Linked DNA regions of Drosophila melanogaster. The protein of the gene in region 1 interacts with the protein of each later gene in a pairwise test. Each region holds a gene or a part of one and is shown on either strand. Other genes may lie near its edges.

Region 1 (7,730 bases):
GTCTGTGGGCGATTGGCGTGGCCCTGTTTGATGCTTGTAAAGACCACTTTACCCGCCATAATAAAAATAAATCATAATATTTCCCTTGCCCCCTTCTCGTGACCATGCCACTGCGCACAGTGGGCTGAATCAGTGATTTTCGGGCGTTAATTCGCTGTTTCGAAATCAATACATGCTTCAGTAACAACAAGTGCTGTTTTGTTATAAAAATTGAAAGTTTAAGAAATTTGTGGAATATTTTATAAGGATCAAGGAGATTTCATATTTCATATGCTCATATGGATATTCAAATGTGTAGTTACATTCGCTTACTAAAATATGGTTATAATATATATACAAAATATAGGGATATATCTAAAGTATGTCTTATACATAGACTTCTTCTTATAGCAGACAGAATATATCTGATATATATATCCCATCTTTATAACATATTTCCAACCACTGTACCATACCTTTGTAGCACCAGCAAGTTCTGGATGCTGGCTGCGTGCGCTACTCCGGATCTGGTTGCTGCTCGCTGCTTTCCGGAGGTTGTAACCCCGGATAATGTACTTAATGCATCTACATATTAATGTCGCACCGCCTAAAAAAAAAAGAAAGGGAAAGGGGCCTTGGTGAGGTGCGGTGAGAGGAAGTGCAGGCTGACGAAAAAAAAAGGGAAAAACAGGGGAGAATTACACGGGTGAATTGAGGAAACCTGTGCCACCTCCGCTCCACTTCCCGCACGCCTGCTACTTTGTATGTAATTTCTATTACCACCCCCCGCCACCCACACCCATGGGCGTACGTGGAATCCCTCGTGTCCTTGTGTGTTATGCCTGTGTGTTTGTGTGTGTGTGCAGCGTGTCGTTGTGCTTTTTGTTGTTGTTTTTATTGCACAGACTGGCGACGCAGCGTGTGATTGCCACTTTCCCTCTGCACTGCAAGAAAATGCCCACAACTGGCACTGAAATCAATTAATTTTGGTCTAGAGATGGTTTCTAAAAGCACACCGAGTGCACTTCATTTTGTTTAATATATATTATCTGATCTCCTAACTTCATAGTTCTAATAAACAAATTCAAATCAATTCAATCATTATAATCGATAACTTAATAAAACCCCAATTTAAAAAGACGCCTCATATAATCTTGTCCAATCCTTGGCTATACTAAAACTATGCCTTTTTGAGCGCTCATATATAATTTTAATAATATATATATATTACACAATATATTACAACGTAGTGCAGATTTTCTCCCGGTGTTTTCCCACCCCCCTTTTTCGCTTTTCCCTCCTCACCTGAGCCGCTGCACTTGTTCCATCGCCGTGTGCGTGATGTGAAAGAAGGCAACGCAATCGCCGTGAAGAAGGGTGGTTGCGTATGGCTGGGCGGAATTTTCACCGCCCACTTGGATGTGTCTCCCAGTTGGGCGGGCCGGAAAACAGACGGCAGAGGGCAGCCGTTAAGCTGGGACCGCAATGTGTAAAAAATTACGAGCAAAAATTAAAGCTGGGGTGGGCGGAAAACGTTGGCAGGTGGTCGCCGGAGGCGGGAAAACTCCGCGGTCTTGCTGGTTTTCCACGCTTTTCCATTGCTATTATTTCCGCTCACACGCATGATGAGCCAGCGACAATATGTTGCCATTAACCCTGCAAATTATTGCAGTGTATGCGTGAGTATTGCCACGTTTTTTGTTGCTCGACAAAGTTTATGAGTCGTCTGTGGAAAGTCGATACACTTGAAAGGAGGTGGAAAAACAGGCATGGGAAATTACAAGACAATCTGCGTTATCGAATGTAAAGGAAACACTGAATTGTTCTCGAAATAACAGCCATTATAATGAGTTTATAAAAATGTAAAGGTCATTTGTTTATATTTACAAATGCATCTCATTTTATTAATTTTGTTGTGGTTTTAGTTCCAGTTCTAGTTCCATTACAATAGTGAAAAACTTAAAAGTCATATTTTAATTGCATAAAAAATTATATTCTTGATAATTTCAATAAATTCATAAATATAAAAAAAGCCCCTGTGACTTGAACTGCTTGCTATAAATATGCTTAAGTTTATGGCAAATTTTCAATGTTAGTTAGAGACAATGAATGTGGGATGCTGTTCCTTCGAACAGCGCAGAATATCCTGGGAATTCCCGTGAAATCTAGCTGCCTTCAACCACCCGCTCCCCTCCCCCTCATCCAACCACTACACCTACTTGTGATCGAAAAGGCGGAGGCAAAAAAAAAAAAAAGAAGGTAAAAAGGTAAAAATGTGAAAAGTAAAAGTAAGTAAGGCCATGAATCGCAACCCCCTGCCAAAAAAAAAAAAAATAAATAAATAAAACAACGACAAGTAGGAAAAAAGTTGGCCGCTGGCTGCGCGTCTGGCGGATATAAAAATAAAATAAAATCTATTAGGTGGCGAACCACCCCACATTTATGCGGCAATTTGTTGCTCCTTGATTGTGTCTGTGTGCGACGGGGTGTCCTTTCCGTATGTGCGTGTGTGTGTATGTGTAAAAATAAGTAAAGTAAAGTGTATCATTTTCCCATTTGGCGACCCCTTTTCGCATTTCGCCCCTGTACACAGGCACTTCTCGCACTTTGTCTCAATTCCCAAAACTGTCGCCCCGGCCGTTGCAATTTATGAAGATTTGTGTGTGGCCAGGATGCCAGCGCAGGGTGGGATGCCCAGGATGCAGGACTCTGAATATCACTGGCTCAGAAGCTCAGGGCTCAGCACTCAAGAGTCTTGGCCCACTCCCACTCCCACACGGTTTCGTTTCGACTGCACTTGTTTTGATTTGTTTGGAATAATAACAGATGCTTGCCGTTCATATTATTCATTGTGGAAATTATTAGCGCTTGACAATAAAAATGGCTATTTGAACAGCACTCGAAAGTGAGTGCGCCCCCTTACTCCCCCTCTCACCGACAATCCCCCGCCGCACAACACAAATTGCAATTTGTGCAAATATTTATGTACATTGAAAATTACTCATTTGTGTAACACCAATTAATTTCAACAAACAGCGGCGGGCGCACAACAATGGCCAAGCCATTTATAAAACTTGGCCGCTTGTTGTTGGTCCCTGTTGTCCTTGTTGTCCTTGCTGCCTTGCTGGTCAAACAAATGGGGGAAAATGAGGTCCTTTGTTTCCCCAAAATAAACGATGCCGCTGCTGTTTGAATGTTTGAATGTTTGCTTTGCGGTGCGCCAGCACACGATACACACTGTACAGTGGAGCCCTTCGCCAACAGCCGACAAAGCAGTTCAATCAGCTCGAACAGCTCGCTATTTATGTAATATACTTATGTGTACATATATATATGGTATATATATGGTATGTATGTGAAAAATGCGGGGTTATTGCCTCATTATTGGGACACTGGAAAATACCCTGTTTACACTGCCATTTTTCAAGTTGCGCCAACAAATTGCAGCTAATTAGTGGCCACACTAGCCGGGAAATCCGACGAAATAAGCTCATATACAATATACCAAAACCGGGGTGCACAGCAAATGGCACTCGGCAACTTCAAGTTTTCCACTCAATCAGAGATAATATGAACAAATGGGCGAGGGTCAGACGAGGGTCGGCACACTTTTCCAGGGGTGACCAACTTAAATAATACCTTTCTAGTACTGCAAACGCGGGATGTAAGACAGCTTATAAGGATGGTTAAGGTATCGTTTATTTTAGTTTAAAACCTAGAACATGCGAAGAAAATACAAATAAATGCGTTTATATAATATATATATTTTCTATTGTAAAAGTTTCTGAGAAATCACTATACCATCACATTTCCATGAAACACGAACTGGAACAATGCGATGTAGTCACTGACTTGTCTGTCGTCGATTTGTCATTCGTTTAGTCTTTGAAAAGTATAAAGGTCACCGTTCCGGAATCAAAATTTTTTTTAAAATTTTTAAGATACCGCAAAAGCGCGAATGTAGAGTATTAAAGTGCGTTTTAGTGAACAGCACATGTGTATCCGATCAGATCCTCAATTTTCATTAACTTCCGGAGAAGCGAAATCGAAAAAAAAAAAACACGATCTAAAGACGACTGCTAGTACAGCACGCAGAGGTCAAATGTCTAGATTCTAGAATTTAGATTACAACAGCTGGACTTTGCACACCACTAGAAGGAACTTAGAGAAGGTAGGGTAATCGATTTCAATCGATATAGCTAATCAAGCTGTCAAACCTTTTTCTTTTCACTTTTTCTAGAAGCGAGAATTTGTCCTACATTTTTATTAGGCATTTTGTGAAAGAATCAAAAGAAAAAAAAAGCTGAACGCTAAACAATTCACCGCCACATATCGAGAAGAAGCAATTCCATTCGGTTATGTTCTGGTATTGAGCACCTGGTATTGAGTAAATCGAAAAATTCACAAATCATCACAAAAAGTGCACGTCATCAGGACATACATTTTGCTGCACCCAAGAAGCTAAGTTTGTGACCCAAATAGACCAGCTCCGCCGAGGATCCAGTCCCATTCTCCAGACAGCCGCGATCTCAGGGTGAGTCCCTGACAAGCAGCCCCAACGGCGTCCCAGACGATTGTCCTATCCAGCCCGGACAACGCAGCCGCGGCCCCCAAGACCGAGGCCATGGCGGAGGTTCTCAATTTGGAGAGCATAATTTCCCGTCTGTTGGAGGTGCGTGGCGCACGGCCTGGCAAGAATGTCCAGCTGTCGGAGGGTGAGATACGGGGCCTGTGCCTCAAGTCGCGCGAAATACTGCTGGCACAGCCCATACTCTTAGAGCTGGAGGCGCCGCTCAAGATCTGCGGCGATATCCATGGCCAGTACTATGATCTGTTGCGTCTGTTCGAGTACGGCGGCTATCCGCCGGAGGCTAACTATCTTTTCTTGGGCGATTACGTGGACAGGGGCAAGCAGTCGCTGGAGACCATCTGCCTGCTGTTGGCGTACAAGATCAAGTATTCGGAGAACTTCTTTTTGTTGCGCGGCAATCACGAGTGCGCCAGCATTAATAGAATCTATGGATTCTACGACGAGTGCAAGCGCAGATATACCATCAAGTTGTGGAAGACATTCACGGACTGCTTCAACTGTCTGCCAGTTGTGGCCATTGTGGATGAGAAGATCTTTTGCTGCCACGGCGGACTGAGTCCGGATCTTACCTCGATGGAGCAGATCCGTCGTATTATGCGTCCCACCGATGTTCCCGATCAGGGACTACTCTGTGACCTGCTGTGGTCCGATCCGGACAAGGACACCATTGGGTGGGGCGAGAACGACCGTGGCGTTAGTTTCACCTTTGGCGCCGAAGTTGTGGTCAAGTTCCTCCAAAAGCACGATCTGGATCTGATCTGTCGTGCCCATCAAGTCGTCGAGGATGGTTACGAGTTCTTTGCCAAGCGCCAATTGGTCACTTTGTTTTCCGCCCCCAACTATTGCGGTGAATTCGACAATGCTGGTGCCATGATGTCCGTGGACAATACACTCATGTGCTCCTTCCAAATCCTGAAGCCTGTCGAGAAGCGCAAGAAGTAGAGGACAGCGAGATCTGTAGACGCTTCTAGATTTATTCTTATATATTGTAACACGCGGCACGCGACTCATTCACAATATCCTACACGAAATCGGTTCGAAATCATAATATCCACATACATCTCTAGTCAACCGGATCGAGGGAAATGGCTCAACTACAACGTATACCTCCATGGATCCTAACTGTCTTCAGAGGTATCCACTAGCCAATTCTTGCATATTGTATGATATGTGTAAGTTCACTGAGATTTGAACGCAGAGCTTATGCTTAGCTAATGCAAAATAACGCCATATGCGACTTTTACAAAAATAAACTTACATTTAAAATTTCAAGTGTTTTCATCTAATTGTTGTTTTTTTTCGATTTCCTAATTAATCTTGTCAGCTAGTTTATCCAACTCTTAATTTAAGCACCTTTCCCAAATGTGGAAGCCCTGAAAAGTGTGCTACGAATTCCGGCGGAGTGAAAAGTGGGTGATCCCCCTGAAAAAGAGATTCACCTCCATCTGTTCGTGTTCGGTGACAGAAGTCACCGCCATATTATATTAACAATGCTTAAAAATTAACAAAGCACACGCACACACATGCACACATGCACACGTAAAATGAGTGGGCGATATGGGGGCGTAAGAGAGAGGGAGCGAGCTGGCAGACAGACGACAAACAAAAAAACAGAGACAAAGATACAACAAATTGCGCCAAAAACGCTTTATTATGTCAAAACAAGATGAAAAAAAAAACAATAGAGAAAAGGAACCCAGTGTGGCAACAACAAATTACATTATATATATAATGAGGTCATTAGCGCGTAAACAATCAGAAAAGAAAGTGGGCAATGAAATACAAAGGGTGGGAGCGAGATGGCGGTAGAGCGTAAGGGAGACCAAAAAGAAAACAAAGTCACATGTTTATCAACAAACGGCAAATAAATAAATGTTCTTCGCAAATTTGTTAATAAATCATGAAGTTGACGACCCAAGTCGAAGAGAAAAATTTGAGCAAGTGAGAAGAACAGATTGTCAGGAGAGAAAAGTTCAGCGGCAATTCAGTACTCTTATTTATTTTTATTTCATAAATAGATAGCCCTATTTGTTTATTTAAATTATTATTTAATATGTTTATAAGAAGTATTGTTTAATATATTTAAATTACATTTTAACAATGGAAGATCTAACATTGACGTATGTATGTAGATTCTTATAGTTCATTAGGTAATCTGTTCTTTTGTTAAATATAATATTATTATCCTGACTACACCATATCTATTTAAGCTAATCTTTAATTTTAAATGCCAGTAAATGTGGTAACATTATTCCAACTAAGCTACCAAATTTAATATTCAACTTACTGGCCAAATCCGGACTCTCTTTGCATTTCCAAGAGTATTTCTTGCTTAAAATGGCGTCCTTATGCACACACACACACTCGCACGAAAGGGATATGTGTGTGTGAGATGCTCGGTGTTTGTCGCTGCTGCAGAGCAGATACCTATATATGTGTATATTTCTATATGGATACACGGATATATATGTACATGTTGCAGTAGAAAGGAAATCAATGCAGACAACATTTGGCAATTTGGTAGCAGTGCAATTGTTTTCTCTTTTTCCGGTTAGCTACTCGCATTTATTTGTATCCTTTTTGCTGCAAATTGCCTTCTATTGTTGCATTTGATTTGTCCTCTGGACGAAAAAGAGGTGGAGATATATGGCATGCCACACCCACACACCCATGCACACACACACACACACATACATACTCACTCCGCCATCTCGCTCTGGCTCTAAAGTTTTGTATCTGGGATTCATTGTTTCGTATGCACTGGAAGAAATTTAAGTATCTCTTCATCTACAAAACATTGGTTTTTTATATAAGCGATTTATAAAAAATGTTAAAAGTTATTAATTAGAAATTAGGCACATTTTTTCTATTATATTGTAATAATCTTCAAATATATTTATTTTTTTCTTTTTTTTTTTTTGATCACTCAAATATTGATCTACTATTTAGAAACCTTTGTTAAAATTTCAAACTTTAATATTATATATTTCAAATTATATATTTTTTGAGTTAGTTATAGTACAATATTTCAAAACCTTGTGCAGATTTATACATTAATATCAAATCATTTTGTTAGCTAGAACTCAAAGGCTAAATTTAAATAATTTGTTAATCATTTCGGTTTTAATATTATTAATATTAAAATAAAGTCTTTAAACTC
Region 2 (4,474 bases), on another chromosome or scaffold:
TTAATTGACTCAGTAACAAAAAAGATTAGTCACGTCGAGAGGTAATAGTTTTTTTTATTCGATCAACAGTTTAGTGTACAAAAATACATTTGTTTAATGCAATCAATCGTTAAATTAATATCGTCTTAATTGAGTGATAACATATGTATGTATATATACTCGGAAGCTGCATTATTTCCATGGATCACTTGAGAATTGCTTAAATGATTGCTAAATTAGCAGAGATTTCATCACATTGTACTTGATATTATTTTCGTTTCTCTTGTTCCTTCTGAAAGGAAGTCTTTTAATTACTCTACAACTCGTCTACGCATATAATCTAAAAGCATGCAAAGAGATTTAAAAGTTCACAACTAAGTGACGTCATGACGGCGCTACCATTGCTCTAGTTCAGCGATAAATAACTACAAAAGAAGCGAAATCAAAGTTGAGTATAGGACACAGCTACAAAAACAACAAATGCGAAGGATAGACTAACATTTGGCGTCGCCGGAGATGAGGCAGATCCGTGCGTCATTTCGTGGAGCTCCTCGTCGGTGTAGGTCTGGTTGGCAGCCTCGACCTTGTAGTTGAATGTCGCCGATACGGGCTTGTGGTCGGAGAGAGTGTAGTCCATGTGGGACTGATAAGACAGCTGGTTGGCACTCAGGGTAATGCCCGGATAAATGTTGCTCTGCACGCGATGCAAAATCCGATCGCACCAGGCGGGTCGCCGCTTCAAGTTGTAGTCATTAGTGCCTTCCACGAACTGCAAGGAAAATCAAATGAACTTTATATGGGTGCTAGAGATAAGGCGAATTAATTACATTCGACATATTGCCTCATAAATTAGTTGGATTTTGCTTTTCTCATGAAATCTGTGGAGCCGAATGAAGTGATTGATTGATGAAGTGATTGGCGGAAATTAAAAATTCAAGTGCAGATAAAATTAATTACACCCACCCCTATATACATTATTTAGATTAAGATTAGAAAGTTCAAGGCAAACTTTGACTGTAGAGATAATAAGATTGTATATTAGATTGTTACCTTAAAAGTGGGCGCAAAGTTGGGCTGCTGCTCCTCCAGCAAGCTGAAGGCGTTTCCCTTCTCCCGGAGCAGATTCAACTGGTCGAGCTTGAGCAGATCAGCGTATCGCTGGTTCTCCACATCCGTGCGGACATCCCAAGCGGACATATCGCCGGAGAGACGGAAGTTAAGATCGCCAAACCAAAAGACAAAGTCGTGATCGAATATCCGGCGATATCCCTGCGCATTGTACTTGTGATTGTCCACGATTTGGTGATAGTCTTCGATGCGCTCCTTCAGCTTCTCATCGTGCGCCGCCAGATGGGAGCAGACGAATGCGACGCCAGTTCCGTAGAGCGAAAGTCGAATGCTTACGGCACCCTTGTTGCCCCACAGCCCTCCAAGTCCCGTGCGCGTGGCTTCTGTCTCGATTTCTTTCATGTGCGGGATGTGCTTGTGCTGTGCGAACATGGTTATAAGAATTCCCTGCAGCTGCTTCGAGTCCACCTTTACGAACTGGTGATCGCTCAGAGAGTCCGCGATCTTCAGCACCCACGGATCGTCATTGAAGATTTTTAGCACCTGCGGTGTGGTGCTCACCTCCTGGAATCCGATTACATAGATATCGGGCAGCTGGTTATCCGGACAAGTGGTGGTGCCATTAAGGGACAAAAGGGAGCTCAGATCCTGATTTCGCGGCGTATGGGTGCCCACGTTCCAGGTCAAAAGGAAGATGCACAGATCCGCAATCGCCGTGGCCGTAACCATTTTTCCGCCGTCTAATTATCTATGATTAATACTTGTTGTTTTGGACGTCACAAGGTGGCTGTTGATGAGTTCATGGGCATCCAAAACAGGTTTACGGATTTGGCAGCATCAGCAAATAAAGCGAAAGGCGTTTTGCACACGCAACTTTCATTTATGTAACCGTTAATTCTTCAGCACTAATTTTTTAAGCCGCTTTAATTGGACTAGGAAGCGCTAGTTGCCCGTATTATTTATAGAATACTCAGATGTCGTTATTTATGTTTATTTGTCCGTCCGTTGCGTGAGCTTAGTGTGACCGCAGCACAACTATTTAAATATACCTTAGGCGGCGGCAAAAATTTTATGGTATCTCGATAGTAACGGAGCTCTGAAGCTCATCGAAAACATCGGCTAACATGAGCTTCTCATCTAATTTAGATTTTTATTTGAAACACATTAGATATTATAAAAGCCAAAAATCAATTTAAGAAATATAAAGATATAAGATTAAAAGTTGTACTGTGCGTAAGTTCCTTTAAAATAATAATACTCTTATTTCATTGTTTTTTTTTTTACGCGAGAATGCCCCTTTGCATTTGCTTGTGCTAAACCGATATTATCGGCAACTAGTCAATTGTGTGTACACACTGGCTAAGGATTTTTCATAAAAATAAACACTTTGTATAAACTTACCTTCCGAACTATTTTACTTAAGTTAAAAGTATGGCTAACAGCTACGACATACCCAGTTGGTGCGTTGTCAAATTCAGCCGCTGCCTTGCCACAAAATCACGTAGCATTTTATTTATTTTAGGGCTGGAAAACCGCCCACTGGCTTACATCTGGATGTGCTAAAGGACGACAAACTAGTACAAAAACTGATGGTGGATGAAAAAAGATGCTATCTATTTGGTCGCAACAGTCAAATGAACGACTTCTGCATAGACCATGCCTCTTGTTCGCGGGTCCACTCGGCGTTTGTCTACCACAAGCACCTCAACATAGCCTACCTCGTGGATCTGGGGTCCAGTAGGTACTAAGATATCTGGGATTCGGAGTAAGCTTATCCATTTACTTTTGACAGCTCATGGCACCTTTATTGGAACACTCAGATTGGAAGCGCACAAGCCCACACAGCTGCAGATTAATAGCACCTTCCACTTTGGGGCTTCTACCCGGAACTACATACTCAGGGAACGACCCTCTGGCCACCACAGCAACATCATGGAAGACCTGCCGCTCAGTGAAACCAGCGATGGAGCTCTCCTGGGCCTACCCGAAAGCCAAACGGAGCTTGATGTGCGTTTGGTTGAAAAGAAAAGCTAAATACTATGTAAACTAACCTTCCATTATCCTGCAGAATCTCACAGAATACAACACAGCCCACAATCGGCGCATCTCAATGCTGGGCATCGATGATGATACCAATATGCGAAAGCAAAACGCCTTGAAACAGGGACGGCGCACTCGAAATGTCACATTTAACGATGAGGAGATTGTCATCAATCCTGAGGATGTGGATCCTAATGTGGGACGCTTCAGGAACTTGGTACAAACCACTGTGGTGCCCGCCAAGAGGGCTCGCTGCGACGTCAATCATATGGGCATCCATTCGGGCAACAGCAGTTTGTCCAGTGCCAATGCCGCACATGTACACCAAATGTTCCAGCAGAGCCTAGTTGACATGAAGCAGCAGCATAGGGAAATGCCTCCGCCCAATGCGGTGCTCCACTCGCCTACTAATTCCCTATATCAAGGTCTACCGGCCGAAATGCATGGCAAGGGTGACCTAGAGCCCATCTCCCCGCTGAGCATTGGTTCCAAGTTGGGCCTATTGCTCCCGAATCCTGCGCCTGAAGTGCTGCCAGTCTATGACGAAGCTGTGGAGACCTCGACATTGGCTCAAAAGTTGGCCGTCGCTAATGCAAACGGTAATAGTTCTCGCGACTATTTGTTTAAAAACTTACTGATTGTTTATAACACCATTTTAGTTCGTCGCTTTGGTGAGGATCCGCATGACTCGAGTGGCGAAGGCGATTCGCTGTGCCCACAGAAAAAGAAATACGCCAAGGAAGCATGGCCAGGTCGCAAGCCCATGTTGGGGCAGCTGTAATTGCGTATTAACAAAATAATTAAGATTCCACCTACGATTTTCTCAAGCATATGATTGACAACACACTCTGGAGTAATATTTGTTTATTAGACTTTTAACGTAAAACAAAACATTTAATATCTTTATCTGATCACATCTTGCAGCTGTGTGGATACCTGGGGAAGGGTATCACATCACGAATGTTTTTAACGCCCGTGACAAGCTGCAAGTAACGCTCAAAGCCCATTCCAAATCCTCCAGTTGGAACTCCTCCATACTTTCGCAAGTCAACGTACCATTCCAGATCCTTCGGCAGATGCGGATGGGATTTTAATATAGCAGGATCGCTTTCACGCAGGCTCCCGCCGCATAATTCTCCAACAGCTGGCATCAGTAGGTCTAGGGCATGAACTCGATTGGGATTTGAACGCGAGACTTTCATGTAAAAAGGTTTCTGCTGAGCTGGCCAATCCACAACGAATACGGGAGCACCACAATGGGCCACTAAAAAAAGTTCTTGGTCCTTGGAGAATCCTTCGTTCAGGCTAATAGGAGTCTTAAGACTGTCCTTGTTTTCCTGCAGTACTTGCAGGGCTTCATCGTAGCTCATTATCTTCCACGGTACTT
Region 3 (5,445 bases), 5.3 Mb from region 1:
GAATCCAAGAAAAACTCCATACCTTACATACAAAAAAAAAAGATTTATTTCGTTTAAAAATAACGCTTGTAACTACTTGAAAAGCTTCTCTGTTTACATTTTACAAAGTTTCAGGTTCTCCCTTGTGTTTTATTTTATATATTATATAAATTTATATAAAGTCTACGATTGGAAAGCTAATGAACAACTAGCCCCTTACTGCCCAGAGTAATCTACTTGTACAAGCGATTGTAGTTCTTGCGCCGGCGATCCTCCTCGAAGTTGTTATTCCTGGCCCACTCCTTGAGGTTGCCCTTGGAGCGCAGCATGGCGGACTTGGAGTCCACGTCGCGCAGCACGAAGGGCGAGAATCCGGCCGTGTAGTCCTGATCCAGAGCGTTCGTCTTGGTCTTGGCAACGCGCGACGGCATCTGCCTGGGCATCGGCTGATCCTCGAACAGGATCGGATTTCTCGAATGCTTGCCGCCCTGGAAGCGAGGCAGGCTCTGATTCTTGTACTTATTGGTCAGCGGACGGCGCGTATTGATGTGAATCACCTGGCGACCGTTCTCGTCCAGACTGACGGCCACACGTTTCAGCGTCTTGTTGCCACAATTGGGGCAAAACACCTTGGTCATGATGCTGGTGGTCTTGTAGCACGCGTAGCAGCGGAGTATATATGTGCGCAACTGCTTGATGATCCGGCCATTGAGGGCGGCCAGGTGGAGATTTAGCTGCTTGAGCACGTTCTGCAGCGCATAATCGGTGGTCATGCAGGCGACGGGCGGCACTTCATCCGTTTCCACTTTGCCCTCGAGCGCTTTCTTGGCCTTCTTGATGTTTGAATGCGTGATCCAGCCATCGTCACCCACATCCTCGTCGAGATTTTGGCTCTGTTTGGCTTCTTGTGGCTCGGATACCTCCTCATCTACTTCGGCCGGCTGGGAAACGAGCAGTTCCGAGAGCTCTTTCTCTTCCTCGGCACTGGGTGCGCATTTGAGCTGCTCGAACAGCTTGTCCAGCTCCTCCTGACTGGGCTCCTGGTCTTGGTCCTCCTCCTTTTCGATGGTCTCGCTGGCAAATGGTTCCTTGCCGGCCAATTGGGCTTCGATGGCGGCTTTAACAGTGTCTGGGGATTCATTTGCCTCCTGCTCATCGCCTTCAGCATCGTCCTCTTCCTGGGAGTAATCATCTTCCTCCTCGGAATCCTCCTCCTCCTCCTCTTCGCCCTCGGGCATGTACCAACCGACCAGTCTCTTGTTATTAGCATCCTGCATCTCCTCGGGTTTATCCTTGGACGCAATGGTCTGCGCCATCACAGGCTCCTGGCGCAGGTGATCAGTGCCCACGTTGTCTGCTTCCAGTTCGTAGGTGAGCGAGATCACTTTCAGATCGATCCCCGAGAGACTCGCGTAGTCACCCGTTTTCTTGGCGAACTCCACGCAGTGTTTAATGCTCTCCGGACGAGGCTCGCGCACCTGGAGGTCGAAGGGCAGAACGCAGAGGCGGCGAATCTGGCGCTTGTTGCGCACTTCGGCCACCACATCCGGCACGGTGAGCACCTGCTCCGCGTATTCCTGTAGGGGATTAGTGGCGGCTTTAGATGGCTCGAATGGGCAAATTGTGCGTGACTTACATTCAGGGGCACGGCGTTTATAAAGGCTGTGGTGTCCGCCACAAGGAACTTGATCTTTTCGCTCGTTTCGGCCATTTTCAGTGCTAATTTTCACATGAAAAACAAAGGACGGCAAAAAATAACAATTTCTGCACGTGTCGCGATTAGTGTGGCTGTAGTGAGCTGTGACCGTTACGTTAGGGTATGCTAAAAATACCAAAAAGTGTTTATGAATTTGTGATTTTAATATTAGTTAATTAAATTTTACATTTTTAAGAGTTAGGCAAAGCTAAATGAATGCGTTCCCTAAAATTTTATTGCTAGCTCTCAATAAAATTGTTAAAATTAATTCATGTTAAAATATATTTCTATGAGATATTATATTATTATCACAGGGAGATATCGGTCCTGACTACTTAGACTTTCGGCCGGACTGTTGGAAAATTACCAAATTTACTTAACAAACTACAAAAAACATCAGTTAAACAAAATATCACTTGACTTAACTTATATTAACATATTTACAGATATGAAAAAATGTAGTAAAATGCCTGGTCTGAGAAATCTATTAATTTGCTGCAGATTTTCAAAAAGCTCATTAGAAGGTCTGCCAGTTTGATCTTCTTGTTTATTTTTTTTTTAACATATTTTCGTATTATCAATACAACTTCTACGAATCAATCACTTAAGCAAGCTATCTTTGCTAATTTTTCAATTTGTAGGCTTGTAAGTGCATTGGATTACATTCAAATTATTTTATTAATTGGCAATGGAATATTCTAGGGTGCTTGCGATATATGGATGCACACTCGCAGCACGGTCACACTGCCCGGCCCATTTAGCTGACAGTTCCATCTCTAGTTTTCAAGCCAAATATGGCGAAGTTTTCATTATCAATTCGTTCAGATAGCAAACTGAATTAGTGAAAGGTGGACGATTTTAAACGGAACGGAGCCAATCCGCCGGATTTTGTGAAAGCCCAACCGAGCGGTACAAGTGTGTTATTCGCTAATAGGCTAATCAATCCAGTGGACACGGTATGTGGGGCCAATGGCAAACCGCCGCCGCAGTGGCTCCCACTGCCGCTCTACCTCCGCAACCGTCGGTTCCGCCACCGTTGCCGGACGCCCCGCCCCCTCCGCCTCCATCGGACGCGACCGCCGGAGCCGGAGCATCAAGCGGTGCCTCTGCACCCATAGTCACGACTGCAGCCGCAGTCACAACGGCCCCTGGATTCAACCCCTATAGCAGCGGCCAGGCGACGGGGGCTGGCAACCCCTATCAACAGTATACGGCCGCCCAGTACGCGGCCATGACACCCGAACAGCAGTACGCACTGCAGCACCACTGGCAACAGTGGCAGACATACCAGGAGGAGTACGCCAAGTGGCATGCCCAGTACGGTGAGCAGGTGGGTCAAATCAATTAGTTATCGACGATCATATTGCTATAGTAGTCTTCCAAATCTTTAGTATAAGCGTGAAATGGCCGCAGCCGCGGCCACAACTACCGCAGTTCAAGGCGTGCCCGCGCCTGTGGTAGCGACTCCTGCAGCAGCACCCGTCCCTGTGGTCGCTCCTCCCGGGCCACAGGCCTATCCTGTCGCACATAACTATTACCAAGGTGTCAGCGCCTCGCCGGCGCAGTCAACTACACCCGTAGCCGTCGCGGGAGCACCGCCACTGCCCGGTAAGATCATGGCCCAGCCGCAGATGTACAACCAGCCGCCGCCGCCACCACAAAAAGGCGGTTACAATCAGCATCCGAATGACATCCAAAGCATGTGGTCAGGACCACCGCCAATGCAACAGCCGCCGCCAAATAGATATGGTGGCGGTCAAATGAACCAGATGAACTACAACATTGCCGGGCAAGACAACCAGGGATTTCCGAATCTCCAGCAGCCGCCGCCAAGTTTGCAGAGACCAACACCGCAACAGCAGCAGCCGCATTTAAACCATATGGACCATGGCCAGTGGGGAAATAATCAACACGGTGTGGGCAATAATAATCGTCCTACCTGGGATACCAGTGGTCCGCCGCCTGATAATACCGGCCAACCCAATCGCTGGAATGGCCCGCCGCCGGCAAATGATGTCAACAATCGCTGGAATGGAACGTCATTTAACAATAACACCAATGATGGCAATCGCCGCTGGGATGGGACTTCAAATCAAGCGCCGTCTGGCGGGGATCAGCAACTAAATCGTTGGATGAGCGAACCACCGCCAAGCCTTCCGAATCCCAATCAGCAGTATCAAAACCAGAATTCCTGGATGAGCGGACCACCACCGAGTATAAGTGATCCGCCACAGGACCATCAGCAGCAAAACAATAGCAGCCAGAATGCCCGCTCGAGTCGCTGGCAAGGAATCAATTCCGACATCGATACACCGCCAATGAGGACTAACAACAAGCCAAATAGCATCCAGAATAGCCGCAATAGTTGGGGTGATGGAGGTGGAGATGGAAACCAAAGCAAGAACCCATTCATTAAGAATCCACAGTCCGATTTTGGCAATTATGGCAACAGTTACAATAGCCAAGATCAAGGTAGTGCAGGAGGAGGCAACTTTGGCGGCTTTGGAGATGATAGTGGAGGCAAGCAAAGCCAGGACAGTTTTGCTGGACGTGGTGGAGGACCCGGCAATAATATTAATAATAACTTTAGTAACAATCGCCGCCAGAACAATCGACGGGATAACAATCGTAACCAGGGATTTTCCGATGAGAGAGGCGGTGGGGATTCTGGTCCAGGCGGCTACAATCCAAATCGTGGCAATTACAATCAGCGCAACAGCTTCAATCAGTCGAATGCGCCCTACAAGCAGTCGCAGCAGAACCGCAATCAACAGCAACCACCCGATTTGGACGAGGCCAGTTTCGATCTGCTGTTCGATCAGTGGGAGCAACAGTTCGAAGAATGGAAGCTGGCCAATGCCAACCATCCGGATCGTGACGAGTATCGACGCTACGAGGAGGAGTTCGAGAAGCAGCGCCGTCGCATCGCCGAGAGAAGGGAGCAGATGCGCCGACGTCGCCAACTGCAGATGGGTGGTTCGGCAGGAGGCTCGACCACAGACATAAGGAAGGAAGCAGCCGCAGGTGCATCCACGACCGCGGAGCAGAAGCCAAATAAGGATCCCTTCGAAGGCCAGGGCCGTTTTGCCGATCAGGGTGACCAGGATCACGGATCGGGTCCCAACTTCGGAAACGGGAACAGACAGTCCGGAAATGCTGGTCATTTTGGAAAAGAGAATCGCCCCTTCGAAAGCGCCGGAGTACCTGCATTCAGAGGCAACCAAGGACCGCCACCGGGGATGCACAACCAGTACCAAACCGCCCAGGAAGCCATCCAGCAGATATTGGACGAACAGCCAGATGAATCCAACCAGGAAATTCCAACCAAGCCGGCGGCATCAAATGAAAATTCATCTGATGTAAAGAAAGCAAAAACGACAGCTTCCCCAGTGGCTCCACCGATTGCACCCGTGGTGCCGCCCGAAGTTAAAGCTCCAGCTGCACCAGTAGTGCCAGATCCGACAGTGGTTCCGCCCACGCAGCCTCCTCCGGTTTCCACAAATTATGGCAAGCGCCGTCAAAGAGCTGCTCCCTCACAAATACCCGCTAAGCAAGTCAAGGAGGAGGAGCCCATATTCACCATTTCCCTGGACGACGACGACGACGATGATGAGGAGAAAGAGGTGGTACAGGACGCACCTAACACGCCCATGGGCAGCATTTTCAAGAAGAACGATGGCATACCCGGTCTGGATTTGGTGGACGATGGCAGTAACAAGAATAATTCGTCCTCAGTCTTCAATGTGGTGCTCAAGGATTCCAGCGAAAAG

Evidence for each region.
Region 2: the proteins of Pp1-13C (region 1) and NiPp1 interact in a two-hybrid assay, tested with the Drosophila melanogaster proteins (2 studies listed by BioGRID).
Region 3: the proteins of Pp1-13C (region 1) and ZAP3 interact in a two-hybrid assay, tested with the Drosophila melanogaster proteins (one study listed by BioGRID).

What each region holds. Positions count from the first base shown.
Region 1 is NC_004354.4:15,357,211-15,364,940, reverse strand, and holds Pp1-13C (protein phosphatase 1 at 13C), read left to right. Parts: upstream 1-3,879; 5' UTR 3,880-4,150; intron 4,151-4,219; 5' UTR 4,220-4,603; coding exon 4,604-5,512; 3' UTR 5,513-5,840; downstream 5,841-7,730.
Region 2 is NT_033778.4:17,003,063-17,007,536, reverse strand, and holds NiPp1 (nuclear inhibitor of protein phosphatase 1), read left to right. Parts: upstream 1-2,387; 5' UTR 2,388-2,478; coding exon 2,479-2,507; intron 2,508-2,569; coding exon 2,570-2,784; intron 2,785-2,839; coding exon 2,840-3,054; intron 3,055-3,115; coding exon 3,116-3,686; intron 3,687-3,746; coding exon 3,747-3,868; 3' UTR 3,869-3,974; downstream 3,975-4,474. Other genes in the region: CG6805 (uncharacterized protein), read right to left, coding at 422-748, 1,030-1,776; AsnRS-m (Asparaginyl-tRNA synthetase, mitochondrial), read right to left, coding at 3,999-4,474.
Region 3 is NC_004354.4:10,079,493-10,084,937, reverse strand, and holds the start of ZAP3 (ZAP3), read left to right. Parts: upstream 1-2,445; 5' UTR 2,446-2,633; coding exon 2,634-3,005; intron 3,006-3,066; coding exon 3,067-5,445. Other genes in the region: CG2972 (uncharacterized protein), read right to left, coding at 213-1,556, 1,616-1,690.